Linked DNA regions of Coturnix japonica. The protein of the gene in region 3 purifies or fractionates together with the protein of the main gene of each other region. This does not show direct contact. Links are inferred from orthologs where the notes say so. Each region holds a gene or a part of one and is shown on either strand. Other genes may lie near its edges.

The links. The genes of interacting proteins can lie anywhere in the genome.
Region 1: the proteins of AAR2 (region 3) and TSSC4 purify together in Homo sapiens (affinity purification with mass spectrometry; 3 studies listed by BioGRID and IntAct, counting the BioPlex papers as one, with this or other methods). This does not show direct contact. The link is inferred for Coturnix japonica from reciprocal best matches to the Homo sapiens genes AAR2 and TSSC4.
Region 2: the proteins of AAR2 (region 3) and PRPF6 purify together in Homo sapiens (affinity purification with mass spectrometry; 3 studies listed by BioGRID and IntAct, with this or other methods). This does not show direct contact. The link is inferred for Coturnix japonica from reciprocal best matches to the Homo sapiens genes AAR2 and PRPF6.

The regions. Positions count from the first base shown.
Region 1 is NC_029520.1:10,938,790-10,943,067, reverse strand, and holds the start of TSSC4 (protein TSSC4), read right to left. Parts: upstream 2,876-4,278; 5' UTR 2,209-2,875; intron 2,197-2,208; exon of another isoform or gene 2,107-2,196; coding exon of another isoform or gene 2,089-2,106; intron 2,008-2,088; coding exon of another isoform or gene 1,883-2,007; intron 1,863-1,882; exon of another isoform or gene 1,844-1,862; intron 1,321-1,843; exon of another isoform or gene 1,241-1,320; intron 1,059-1,240; coding exon of another isoform or gene 986-1,058; intron 51-985; coding exon of another isoform or gene 1-50. UniProt on the Homo sapiens protein: Protein associated with the U5 snRNP, during its maturation and its post-splicing recycling and which is required for spliceosomal tri-snRNP complex assembly in the nucleus.
Region 2 is NC_029535.1:8,485,554-8,489,909, forward strand, and holds the start of PRPF6 (pre-mRNA-processing factor 6), read right to left. Parts: upstream 2,876-4,356; 5' UTR 2,798-2,875; coding exon 2,727-2,797; intron 1,976-2,726; coding exon 1,807-1,975; intron 1,035-1,806; coding exon 916-1,034; intron 311-915; coding exon 232-310; intron 1-231. UniProt on the Homo sapiens protein: Involved in pre-mRNA splicing as component of the U4/U6-U5 tri-snRNP complex, one of the building blocks of the spliceosome.
Region 3 is NC_029535.1:174,036-178,333, reverse strand, and holds the start of AAR2 (protein AAR2 homolog), read right to left. Parts: upstream 2,939-4,298; 5' UTR 2,873-2,938; coding exon 2,122-2,872; intron 1,388-2,121; coding exon 1,158-1,387; intron 1-1,157. UniProt on the Homo sapiens protein: Component of the U5 snRNP complex that is required for spliceosome assembly and for pre-mRNA splicing.

The sequences.
Region 1 (4,278 bases), on a different chromosome or scaffold from region 3:
CCAGGAATGGCTGTAAATACGGTTTTCCAAATGTCCAGCAGCTTTAATGCCTACAATATAAAAGAGCATGAAAATTCAACTGCGCAATGAAAATCACACGTATGACCATCACTCTGGGACAGGCCTGATAATGATTACTGCTATATCACAGTACATTGCTGTGGAACAGATGCACATTAATATTAAAGACTTCCACAAAATTCAGTACAAGAATGCAAAGTAATTATAAATAGTGATGCACTGAATTTCACTGAAGGTAACAGCAAGACCAATTGCTAAATGATGAGCATAAGTTTTTTGAATATAACTGTTCCACATATCTTCTTCCAAGAACAGCAGTGACTCTCCAAAGTACACCGTTCATTTACCCATACCATATAAATCCATAAAAACAAATCCTAATCTCTTTTGTCTGTTGCAATTCTTCATTGCCAATTCACATCCGTCCCCAATCATATTCTACGTATTAAAAAGGGCCCTGCTGCTGATCAAGGAATGTGTCAGAACAGCCTGTAATGTCTCAGAGCTACAGTTCTGTGTCAGCTTTAAACTGACAAAGTACAAGGTGCACTCCTTCCTTGGCTTTAAGCTTTTACGTTATTACTAGATAGTTGCAATCACATGATAAGTGAGCGTGAGAAATGAATTGAGACAGATTATGAAAAATAATTGCATATGCCATGCTTGTGTGAGCACACTGGAAACAAGGGGAGGGTGCAAGCAATGGTCAGCAAGAGCTGCCCATTTGGTCAATCAAAAGACACAGTGACCTGAACCCTGAGTTCCAGTACAGTACAGGCTGAAACACCACTGCTTGTTGGGCAGTCAAAAATAGACTTGGCAAAAATACACTTCAGTTCAGCTCTCCAAAACGTGAATTAGGGAAAGTGTTCTCATTTACTATTAGGTTAAGTTAAACTACACAATTATAGGTTCTTCTGAAAAGCCGCAGTAAACAGACATGGAAAGTGTGCTGGTCACTCACTTTCTCCTGAGACTGAGTCAGCTTCCCCTCCTGAGGGTCAGTTAAAGCCACCAAAGATCTCAGCACTTCCACCCTAGAAAACAAACATTTCCATCAAGATACTGGAAATGTAGTTTTAAAAAGAGTTTTGAAAATAATTCTTTCTCCCTGAGTCACCCAAAGCTACAGAGCAGAGTTCTAAATCTGACACAAGCTCAAGCTTGCATAAAAAAGTCTTCAGATAATCCTGAATACTAGCAAAAGAACAGCACAAACCTAATAGGACAGGCTCCACCACAGTTACTCAGTCTCCACATTCACAAAGCCAAGTCTTATTCTCTACAACAGAAGAGAGGCTTTAAAAAAAAACAAAACAAAGCTGTAATTTACACATGCAGTAAACTATTAGTAAATGTACTGTGTTAACTGCAGCCAAGAAGGTACCAGATATGCACTGCAGGTACTACATGCCAATAGGAAAGAGACCCAGGACACCACAGAGATGCCTGCAAAGAAAGGTTGTATTCACCACTGGGGACAGATCTGCATGAGGAATTAGTATGTGGAGAAGCTTGCAAAGAACTGAATGGCCTGAATGCTGTGTTCTGTGTAGTCTGGCTGTGTTTTGACACCGTTGCTTTTGAAACGTGGCCTCTAGTGCAACCCCCAAATGCAAAATAATCATTTGAAGATCCTGCACCTTTCTCTTTAGTTTTATAACACATGAAAGAAACGAGTGCAACTCAAAAGAAACACCAAAAAGCAGGGCTGAGCAAAACAGATGTTTCAGGCTATGAATGAGGGCACCTCTTTGCTAAGAGCATTTGTACAGAAAGGGAAAACGTTGCTACTGGAAGAATAATTTAACAGTGTTAATACCAAACACGCAGATGCTGACAACACACCAGACAAACTCACACGTTCATTACAGCAACGTGGGCACTGCACAGCACACACAGGCCCGTGTCTCTCTGGCTGCCACGTTCTCCATCAGCCTCTCCCATCCTGGCCTTGCTCTGCTGGCTCTGCTCACCCTCCTGCAGCTGGGAGGCAAACACAGAGCTCCGTCACCCCAAATCTCGACCCCATTCTCATCGCACAGACAGCACTACGACACAACCCACCGCCGCACCCTGCACCATGGGCCCATATACCGCATTCCTTGCCAACCTAGGACCCAGCTCCCCGGACCGGGATCCCCCCCCCTCCCCGCTCACACCCAGCACCGAATAAACGCCCCATACCCCAAAGCCGCGCAAGCCCGGAGGAAGGTGGAGGTGGGGAAGTGCAGGAAGCAGAAGTACAACCCTGCTTCCCGTTAGCGTCACCTCGCTTTGCATCCTGAGAGTTGTAGTTGTCTGCGCTTTCCCCGTTGGGGGCCATTTTGAGAGCGACGCGGCCGGACTACAGCTCCCAGGAGCTCGCCCTCCATTTTGCAGACTGTGAAGCTGTCGGGGGTGGCCCCTCCTCATCCAAACCGCGTGGAAAAAACAAGTCAGGCGTTGGTTTTTTCCTCATCTCTTGGGCTTGGCAGCAGCGAGCGGTTCAGAGGAAGCGTGGAGTTTTTATTTGCATGTACTTTATAACCAGAAAGCCTTCAGTCACTGGGGTGTGAGACAAGTGTCCGGCCAAAAGCAAGTTTCCATCCTCTGTCCCAAAAGAACATTTTTTTGTTCATGTGTCAAGATGTGGAATTCTGTCGGAACATGTTTTATTGGTGTTGGCTGAGGCCATCTGGTTCTTTTCCCCCTTCTTCAGCTAAAAGCTTTAAGTTCTAAAGCAGAGGCTCTAGAGGTGTTTCCCCATTTGGTAAGCCTTTCCTTAAACATATATACATGTACAGCGGAGACACAGGCAGATGGATTCCTGTCTGGAGGGAAGAGAGAGGAAAGCAGGGTCCTTTGGCGTGTGAGCAGAAACAGGAGTCACAGGCAAAGACAGGCAATGGGCAGGGGAGACACAGACAGTGGCTGAGGGCTGAGCCTGCTGCATAATGCTGTCTGGGCATACCAGCAGCAGGCAGGGAAAGGATGTGCATTAAGCGTGGTCATGCCCTATTTTTGTAAGGGTGGAGGCAAGCAGCATAAGCCATGGATCTGGGGTTGGGCTTTTCTTTGTCAGGATGCAGCTGATGGCTAAGGTTACTACATCAGCTGTCTGTATCCTTTTACTCCTTTCCTGTCGCTGTGCAGAAGGTGAGTCTCACACACTGCAGAGAACTGGGGATGAGCTGTTCTTTGCTGACTGCAGACAAGGCAATTCACGATGGTGAATGTGCTGTTGTGTTGGGATTTTTGCTATTGCTTGGTGACAGCTGAAATAAAAATAATGAGTCAGATCCTAAAGAAGAACAGATGGTAAAGCCTAGCCCTAGCCAGCGTGAACTAAGATGGCTTGAAGAGGGGTGCGGGACTCGACATGGCTCTGTGTGCCATCACAGGACATCTTCCAAACAAGTACACTATGCCTGGGGCAGGCTTAGCTCTTGTGCAGAGATTGCCCTGTGCCTCTGCAGGGAGCAGTGCGTCTCCGTTCAGCCCTGCTGCTGGGAGCCTTGTGTTCCTTTCTTGCACATAAATCTGCTGTTGGCCCCTATCCGGTGACTGTTTCCGCTGCTCAATTGGCAGGCTCCAGCCCCAGCCTATGCACTGAAGGCTTCTGCACTTGGAGCCTGGGAGAGGCTGCCTGTCCTTCTCTTCATGGCTGTAGGAAACTGGCAGGCAATTCCCCGGCAGCCACTGTGATACTGAAGGCCAAGCACAGCGATCCAATGTATTTTCTCCATCTCATGCGCCCAGAACAACTGTGGACATGAGTCTGGTATGGCCATGCTCAGCTTGATGCCAGAGTTCATGAGGGGAAGTAGGGAAGGAAAGGAGCATTTTCCTGTAGGTAAAAATCTCAAGCACAGCGTTGCACAGCACATCCTCCTCTGCTGGAAGACTGCAGTTGCACCGAGCCAGAATGAGTAAAGGCTGGGGGAAATAATCACCTGACCTCTCCCATTTACAAGAAGGAAAGCCTATAAATATCCTTGAAACCCAGTGGGATGTTTCCAGGATTTGGTGCTTAACACTGCCTTTCTCCTACATCAGTTTTTGCTTACCTGTTTTACTTTATGCTTTCTTTTGGCTCTGGCTCACATGCAAGCAGGTTTGACTTATTCCAGTGCTGTGTACTCACATTGGAGTTTTCATCCTGCTAAGTGAGCAATGAAAAAATCAACTCATGTGGAGGGAATATATTTAATGAAGACAGGTATCAACCTGACTCTTCCCAATGACAAAGTTACTGCCAACCTGTAGGGAGAACCT
Region 2 (4,356 bases), about 8.3 Mb from region 3:
TTACCACAGAACATATTCCCACTCACCCCAAAAAGTATCTCACAATCCTCCCCCCCCACAACAGTGAGTAACTCTGAATGCAGCTCTCAATAAAGATCCTTCTGCTTTCTCAGGAAAGTAATTCTAATCTAGAGAATAACAAAGTACTTGAACAGAATGTGAGCAAATTAATGCTGAACAGTCACCTCCCATAACTCACACAGATACACTGAAGGCAAGATTTTTCCTTACTTTCAAGTCTGAGAACTGTTGCTGGATTTTGGGTCGTTCCATACGGTATTTTTCTATCTCCTCTTTTTCTCGTTGTTCCCTTAGAAAAAGGAGAACTGAAGTTATGCTCAGAGTAACGAGCCATTAAGCATCACAGAAAGATGTATTCCATCAGAAGTAAAGCATAAGCTTAGATCTTAGACCAAGCACAGGTTACAAACTGTGACAGAGGCCTCTCATGACATAAGACAACAGTGTAGCATAAAAACAAACATTCCTAACCAAGGAAACTTCAGGATTTACTCTTAGCTGCAGGCCAGGAGTATAATTAATTTTAATTAAATTAATTAACACTGGTTTACAAGACACCCACATCACACAACTTTTCTAATGATTTCCAGTGTGTTGTGCAATATGTGATGTATCAAAACCATCCCCACAGCATCTCCCAAAACCAACTTAATAAATATCAGTGAAGCAATTCAACCAAATCAATTCTCGCAGTAAGTTGGGCAAAGTACCCACCAACCTTAAGATTTATTGCCCTGGTGTCTAAAAGGCAGCACTGAAACAAATGAAACCTCTCAACACTTCAGCTAGTAGACACAGATAACATTTACAATGGAAAATGGAGGAGGCAGAAGAAATCTTTGAAACACAGATGAACTAGGAAGCGTTCCATACCAGTGCTCTAATTCATCCTACCTTCTTTCTTTCCTCCGTTCATCCATCCTTTTATCCAGAGCAGCATAAATAGCATCTGCTTCCTCATCATCTTTTTCATAGGGACCGCTCGAGAACAGGCTGCCAGCATATCCATTGAACTAAGAATTGGAGAAAAGGGAAAGGAAAAGCAGCATTCTCAGTTTAAAGCTCCTGTTATGTACTGAGAGCAGCCAGCTATCAGCCAGGACAATGAACATGGGTGAGCAGGCAACACAGCACTGCATCACATTAACACACCCCTTAAATGAAAGCAGCTTTCTTCTACCATCCCTACTTGTTTACTGTCCCTCAACATTTCTAAAGTAAAAGTGTTTCTATTTCCATATTGCATCTATTAAGCAATAAGCAAAATCCTTGCACGTTTTCTATACATCAATAACTTTATTTCCCCTCTAAGAACTACTGAAAGCAAACAATAATAATAACAACACAACATTTAAATAACCAAAGCGGGACACAGGAGACTGCACAGGCCACATGAATATGTATCAAATACATATCAAATATGTATGTAAGCACAAGAGCTTAGATTTCGTTTGTGAAAGAGAACAAAAAAGCACATCCCATAAAACAAAATCCCATAAAATAACGTTTTATTTATGGACCTCTTCCTGAGACTCTTAGTGCTCCATATAGATTCCTAGTGCTCCATATAGATAATGAAACAACTATATGGAGTCCAAAGGAGAATAAGAAAGGGTAAATATATGGCATTAAGTATAATGGACTTGCAATTGAAGCAGAGGAAATCCTGGCCTTGAATCCCCAGCTCATACAGAGAGATGAGTGAGAGAACTGCAGGAGAACTGGGAGCAAAGGGATTTCACTTCTGCTTAGGGATAAGCATCTCTAGGTGTGTTATCACATCACCTCATCGTAATTGGTGTCATTCAGATCCTCGTCATCATCATCAGCCGTTTGATTCTTCTTCATCTGATCCCCCACCGTCCTTTTCCCTGGTGGAGCATGGCGATCATCCACGGGGTCGTTGGCATCGCGTGCAGGGCCAATATCAGAGCGGGTGGTGAATCCTGTGGCGCTGTGTTAATAAAGCAGGGACGGCTCTTTAGCACAGTGAAACCAGAGGCAGCCAACAAGAACCATTGCTTAAAGCCAGGCAATAAGAACATAAGAACATCACAGGATGATCCGGGTTGGAAGGGACCTCAAGGATCATGTAGTTCCAACCCCCCTGCCTGGCAGGGCCACCAAACATACACATTTACTAGATCAGGTTGCCCATGGCCCCGTCCAACCTGGCCTTGAACACCTCCAAGGACGGGGCATCCACAACCTCCCTGGGCAGCCTGTTCCAGGCCCTAACCACTCTCCTAGTGAAGAACTTCCCCCTAACATCCAACCTAAATCTTCCCTCTTTTAACTTAAAACCATTTCCCCGTGTCCTGCTATTATCATCCCTTTCCAAGAGTTTCCTCCCCTCCTGGCAGTAAGTTCCCTTCAGGTATTGAAAGGCTGCAATGAGGTCACCCCGCAACCTTCTCTTCTCCAGGCTGAACAAACCCAACTCCCTCAGCCTGTCCTCATAGGGGAGCTGCTCCAGCCCCCTGATCATCTTCCTGTCCCTCCTCTGGACCCTTAACAAAACCTCCATGTCTTTTTTGTACTGAGGGCTCCACACCTGGACACGGTACAACAGATGGGGCCCTGCTTTGGATGCTCGCTGCTTTGGAAGCGGGCAGGGCCTGGGACCGGGCCTGGGACCGGGCCTGGGACGGGGGGTGCCCAGGCCGCGGCCCGAGGGGACACTGGGGGCCTGACGGTGGACTCACCCGCGGCCCAACCCCGGTACGTAGCCCAGGGGAGCGGGCATGCCCAGGAACGGCTTCTTCTTCTTGTTCATGGCGACGGCTGCTCGGTACGGACGGAGACGGCGGAGGAGAAGACGGCGGAAGTGATGGAGGAAGTGAGGGTGGTTAACCAGCGGGCAGAGCGGCACTTCCGCTCATGTTGTGTCGCGGGAAGCAGAGCGCCCCCTAGTGCTGGGAGGTCCCGAGGGGCCCATAGAACAGAATGGAGCCATCCCTGCACTGAGCAATGGGGGGGGGGGGGGGGTTGTTCCTCCACCCCTTTGCTCCTAATTGGGACTGTGCATCGCCTACCATGGGATGGATGCTCATATACAACAGCCCCAGAAGCACTTTGTGTATCTAAATACACTTGAAATGCATGGGGAGGGAGGGCACGGGAGCTGCAAAGGGCTTTTAGGGTCATCCATCCCTGCTGGGCTCCTTGTGCTCCGACACAGCTGCTGCAGTGAAGACAAATAACCCCATTCTGCACAATGACAAACCCAACCCCCAGCCACTTAGTGCCCATCTATTTTTGGGTTTGGCTGGAGCTGAAATGAAAACACCTCCCTTTTTGCCAAGCCGTTGGGTGCCAGCAGAGCTGTAGCGTTTCCCAGCTTTGGGGCTGGGTTTGGCCCTGGCCCATCTGCTGTTCCCCAGATCTCACAGTCTTTATGGCCAGGCTCATACAAGCCCAAGGCTGGGGTGGGTCTTTTGCTCTCTGCTCTGAGAGCTGCAGGAGTTTCACTTTGGGGGTTATTTCCTAGCAAACATAGTGGGCAGCACAGGGTGAGCACAGGGCTGAGGGTGGCTGGGAGCTCCCCATGTTCTCTGCTCATACATCTGGCTGGAGCCCGCAGCACAGGCACGGCTCCAAGCAAGGAGAAAACTCACTGGTAGGCTCAGTAAAATCAATCCTAAATGATTTTTAATCGTCTTCGTGTGCGCTCCTGGTGTTTCCTGTGTGCAGGAGCAGCGGGAGATGATGGAGCCTGAGGTTTAGAGCCATACCTGACCACAAACTGGGAGCACTGGGGGCTCTGCACGGGATTCCCAGTGATGATGGAGCAGAGCAGTGCAGCATCCAGCCCTGAAATGTCTTCACCCACTGGGATCCTGCTCTTTTCAGGGTAGATGTGGCACCAAGGGACAGTCAGTGGGCATGGCGGGGTGGGTTGGGGTTGGACTTGGGGATCTTGATGATCTTTAATTACTCTGATTCTGTGATTTGGGAATGTAAGGGTTCCTCCCAGCACCAAAGCAGCCCACACCCAGGTCTGGACGTTGGCACTGTGCACTAACCCACCTGGGACAGGAACCACAACACAACAGGAGTGATGCTGATAAGGGCAGTGCATCTCCCTTCCATCCCCGACATCCCCACGGCTCTTTTTGCTGAGGTCCAGGCTTTCCAAGTCTGATTTCTGCACTCTTACAAGCTGGCATCTGCAGGGAATGCTGTGCACGTCTGCATGGATACGCGTGGTAATGGCTCACAAAGGCTCCAAAGTGGAAAATCATCACTTAAATGGGAGCGCATTTAAGATCCCACAGGAACTGGGCAGCCCTGCACAGACCCACACAAAGGCATCTCTGTCCCTGCGCCTGGGGC
Region 3 (4,298 bases):
ACATAATTGCTTATGGTTTCTTATTTTTAAAATCACATTTTGCTTGGATTTAAAGTTTTGGTTTATTCATAGAATCATAGAATTACCCAGGTTGGAAAAGACCTTGAAGATCATCAAGTTCAACTGCAGCCTAACCAGTACCCTAACTCTAACAACCCTCTGCTAAATCATATCCCTGAGCACCACATCCAAATGGCTCTTAAACACATCCAGGGATGGAGATTCATCCACCTCCCTGGGGAGCCTATTCCAGTATTGCTGATCTATCAGCAGTTGCAGTGACTGGGAGTGACTTACAGGTTTGCCCTTGCCTGTCTCAGCACCAGCAGTGTATTTCTGCTGTTTGGACTGACCATAAATCCCATACAAACAACAACCTGATTTCAGGAAACCTTCACGTTTGCATAAAGCAGGCAGGAGCAGAAAGGCTTCTTATATGTTATCCATACCTTCAGCTCAGTAAGATTTAGCTGCAACTTCCCTGCAGGCTGAGCACACCATCCAAGCTGATCAGAAACCACCACCACTCTTTTACACCAAGCCACGTGTTTTTAAACGAATGGTATTTGGAGGGGAAAAAAACTGATCAACAAACAGACACCACTTTGCACTCGCTCAGCCCCTCTCGGAGATGTTCAGCTTCACACAGCTGAAAGCCCAGATCACTTTTAAAACAAACATGCTGGTTCCACCCAGTCACGTCAGTTGTCCCACTCCAGAACTCCAAACCTGCACCAATGGACCAGATCACGGTCAGTGCTATCTTCAAGGAAAACACAATAGAGAAGACTCAGGCCTCACTCTGTGCTGCAGCTGTCAACAGCCTCTCCCCTCAATACCTCACTTTGCTGGCACGTGCGTGCGGACCAACTCCAGTCCACGGTGCTTTAAATGCTTGATCTGCTGAAGGCAATAAATGCTCGATGTGCATTGGTAGATCAAGCTCATAGATGACAAGAGAGGTCATTTCTGTGTGAGCAACGCCAGGAAAAAGTAAAAGGAAATGTCAGTGTGCCCTCACGGAGGACACAGGCTCCCTATCTCTGGCAGACTCAACAGCAGCTTACTTCCTCTTGAAGCTTCTCTCTGTATCTGTTTCAATGCCCTGCATGCCCTGCATTCTGACTCCCATGGATCAAGAGAACGCACAGCCGTACCTGCAAGGTGCTGGTCAGAAAGTTGTCCTGGGAGACGATGTCCACAAAGAAATCAGACGGGATTTCATTCAACTGGTGGTACAGGACAAAGATGAGATTGGCATAAAGGTCCTGATACTTTGCAATGGCAGCTTCAGAACGGCACAGGATGTTTAACAGTCTTTTCCAGTGCTCAAATGCATCGTATACATTCCCAATCAGGAAGCAGATAAAAGCAAACTGCAACTCAGCTGCAGGTATTCAGAAAACAAAACAAAACAGGTAAACCGAGGTATAACCAAGGCACACATCCTCTAAAAAGCTCTGCAGATGACTGCATAAACTGTAGGTTTAGCTTGGGCATATAAACAACCTTCAGCCCTCTAAGTGACTCTGCAAATGGCGATCAATACTGCCAACACCGATTATTTCCTAATGCTCTGCTCTTCTCCCATCTGGAGAGAAAGCACAGTGTAACCGGGCAGGGCTCCTAATTGTGGCTGCCAGCTCTGCAGGGCGGTGCTGCTGGCACTGAGTGAGGAGCTACAGGAGCACCTGCAACACTCACAGGTGCACAGACCTGCACACAGCCACTGCCGGCGCCCTGCAGGCGTTCACCTCCTCCTGTACCACGGCTTGCAGGCGCTGCCCCCAGACGCAGGGATGAGAACAACGGAGGTTGTGAGCAACGAGTGTTTGTCTCTTTTTCAGAGCCAGGACTCAGCCTCGCCAGGCGCTTCTCACCAGCCAGAACCGGTGGCTCTGAAGATTGTTACCTGCACCCGATGCGATCACCTTCGCCTCCCCTCCAATCGCCCGCAGGAATTCTGATAACGAATGACTCGTGTAACACGACAGACCACGTGAAAAACAAACGCTCACAACTCAGCCCAGCCGGGCTCCCGGCCCCTCCACATTCAGCACCCGCCCCCCGGCACGGCCACGGCCGGAGCTCCGCCCGGGGCTGTCCCCGCCGCGCACTCACCGAGCAGGTCCTGCGGCCGCCCGGCGTAGCGCCGCGCGATGACGTTTTCCAGCGCGTAGCTGAGGTCCATGCAGTGCCTGGTGATCTCCTCCGGGCTGGCTCCCTCGGGGTACGTCCGCCGCGGCAGCTCGGTGAAGCGGATCTCGGTTCCGGCTCTGGGCCGCATCTCGGGCAGCCTGGCCACGCCCTCGGCGTAACTCCCGCACCCCGCGTCGTACGGCGGCAGCTTCTGCCCCGCGCGGTCCCGGCCGAGCCGCCCCTCCCGCACCGGCAGCACCTCGGAGAAGGCGCAGATCCGCCCGCTCTCCGGCCGCAGCCGCTCCACCGCCGCCTCGCCCACGAAGCTGCTGAGGGCGATCCACTTCTTCACGGTGTCGTACGGGTACGGCCCGAGGAACGCGTCCATGTCCCGCAGGTCCCTCCCGAGCGCCTCCTCCTCTCCCGGCGCGTCCCGCAGCTCCTCGCTGCCCGGCTCCCAGCGCAGGGCGCGCACCTGCCGGGGCCGCAGGCAGAGGAACAGCCCGGCCCGCGGTCCCGTCTCAGTGCCGCCGGCGGACCGGGCCGCGCTGCAGTGCACGAAGTGCACCCCGGGCGGAACCATCTTGACGCCGCGGAAGCGGGGCCCCACGGTCCAGCTGCTGTAGTCGATGCCGAACTCGGTGCCCTCGGGGACGCCCAGGACGATCACGGCGGCACCCTCGAAGAAGAGCCGCTTGGCCAGCTCCGGGTCGGCCCGCAGCCCCGCCATCATCGCGGCGGGCGGACAGGGCCGGAAACGCGCGGTCCTTCCTCCGCTCTGCGCCCGGGCCGCCCCATGCGCCGCGCACGAACGTTCCGGGCCGCAACTCGTTCCGCCTCCGCGCGGTCCCGGAGGCCGGGGAGCCCCGCTGCGCTGCGGCCGCTCGACGTGACGCCCCGACAGCCGAACCTCTGCTTCCGTCCGGTCTCCACACAGAAGCGGTCGCCCTCCGCCCCCATTAACCAACGGGTAATCCTTCACGATTAACAGTAACACGAAAGAGTAACCCTCAACCGCAACCCAAAGGGGGACCTTAGCCATGAACCAAAAGTGTAACCTTTAACGATAGCCCATATACTTAGCCTTAACACAAAAGGGTAACTGGTAGCCCAAACTGGTAACCCCAAGCCGTTCACTGTAACCCCAAATGAGTGAGCCTTCATCCTAACACAAAAGGAGAAACCTGAATGCTTAACGCTAACACAAAAGGGTAACCGTATCCATAGCCCAAAATATTAACCCGTACTCCTCAATTCTAACCAAAAAGGGTAACTCAACCCATCTCCCAAAAGGGTAACCCTTAGCCCTTAATACTAACCCTAAGCTGTAGCCCTCAAACATATCCCAAAAGGTAACACTTAATACCCAACCCTAACCAACAATGGTGACCCGCTTAACGCTGACACTAAATGGCAACCTCCAACCCCAAAGGGTGACCCTACAGCCCACGGCAGGACAGCCATGCAGCATCACCACCAACCACCACGTACAATACCTATGGGGGACAGCCCGCTATGCAGCCCCTGCATGGAGCCCCTGTCCCCATCTGCGCATCCTCTTTGGTGGGAAGGAGTCTGAAAAGGCCGCAGAGCTGGTTTAGCCTCAAACACATTTATTTCACTTTTATTGAATACAAGAACAGTGAGCACACACGCGTACACCACCGAGCACTGAAAAGGAGCATGACTGGAGGGGGGAGAAGAAGAATAAGGGAAAAGGGGAGTTAGTGAAGGAACAGCAGAGCACTGCAGTTGGTTGGTAAGGTGCTTTTCAAATATAAACATTATTGTTATTGTTACTGTTACTATCACTCATGCAATTGCAGGCCAGGTTTGGAATAAATCTGTGGGATCGGGTAAAAACAGGCACTCATGTCTCCCGCCCCTTGCAGCAGAAAGGCCCCTGGAAGAAAACACACCATGCTGAGCTGCCCCAGCCTGGCAGGTTGGTTTCATCCTATTTGTTTGTTGGTGCTTTTATTTATTGTCGTTTTCTAATTGAAATGCTGTCGCCCATTAAACAAGCTGTAAAAACCACAGAATGGGGTCCGCTCACTCCAAATATAACTCGTCTGAATCCACGCTCAGGTCAGCTCTAACTGTATAAGGCCACTAGTTTGAGCAGTAACCTTCCTTTTGATAACTGTGCAGGTGATGCC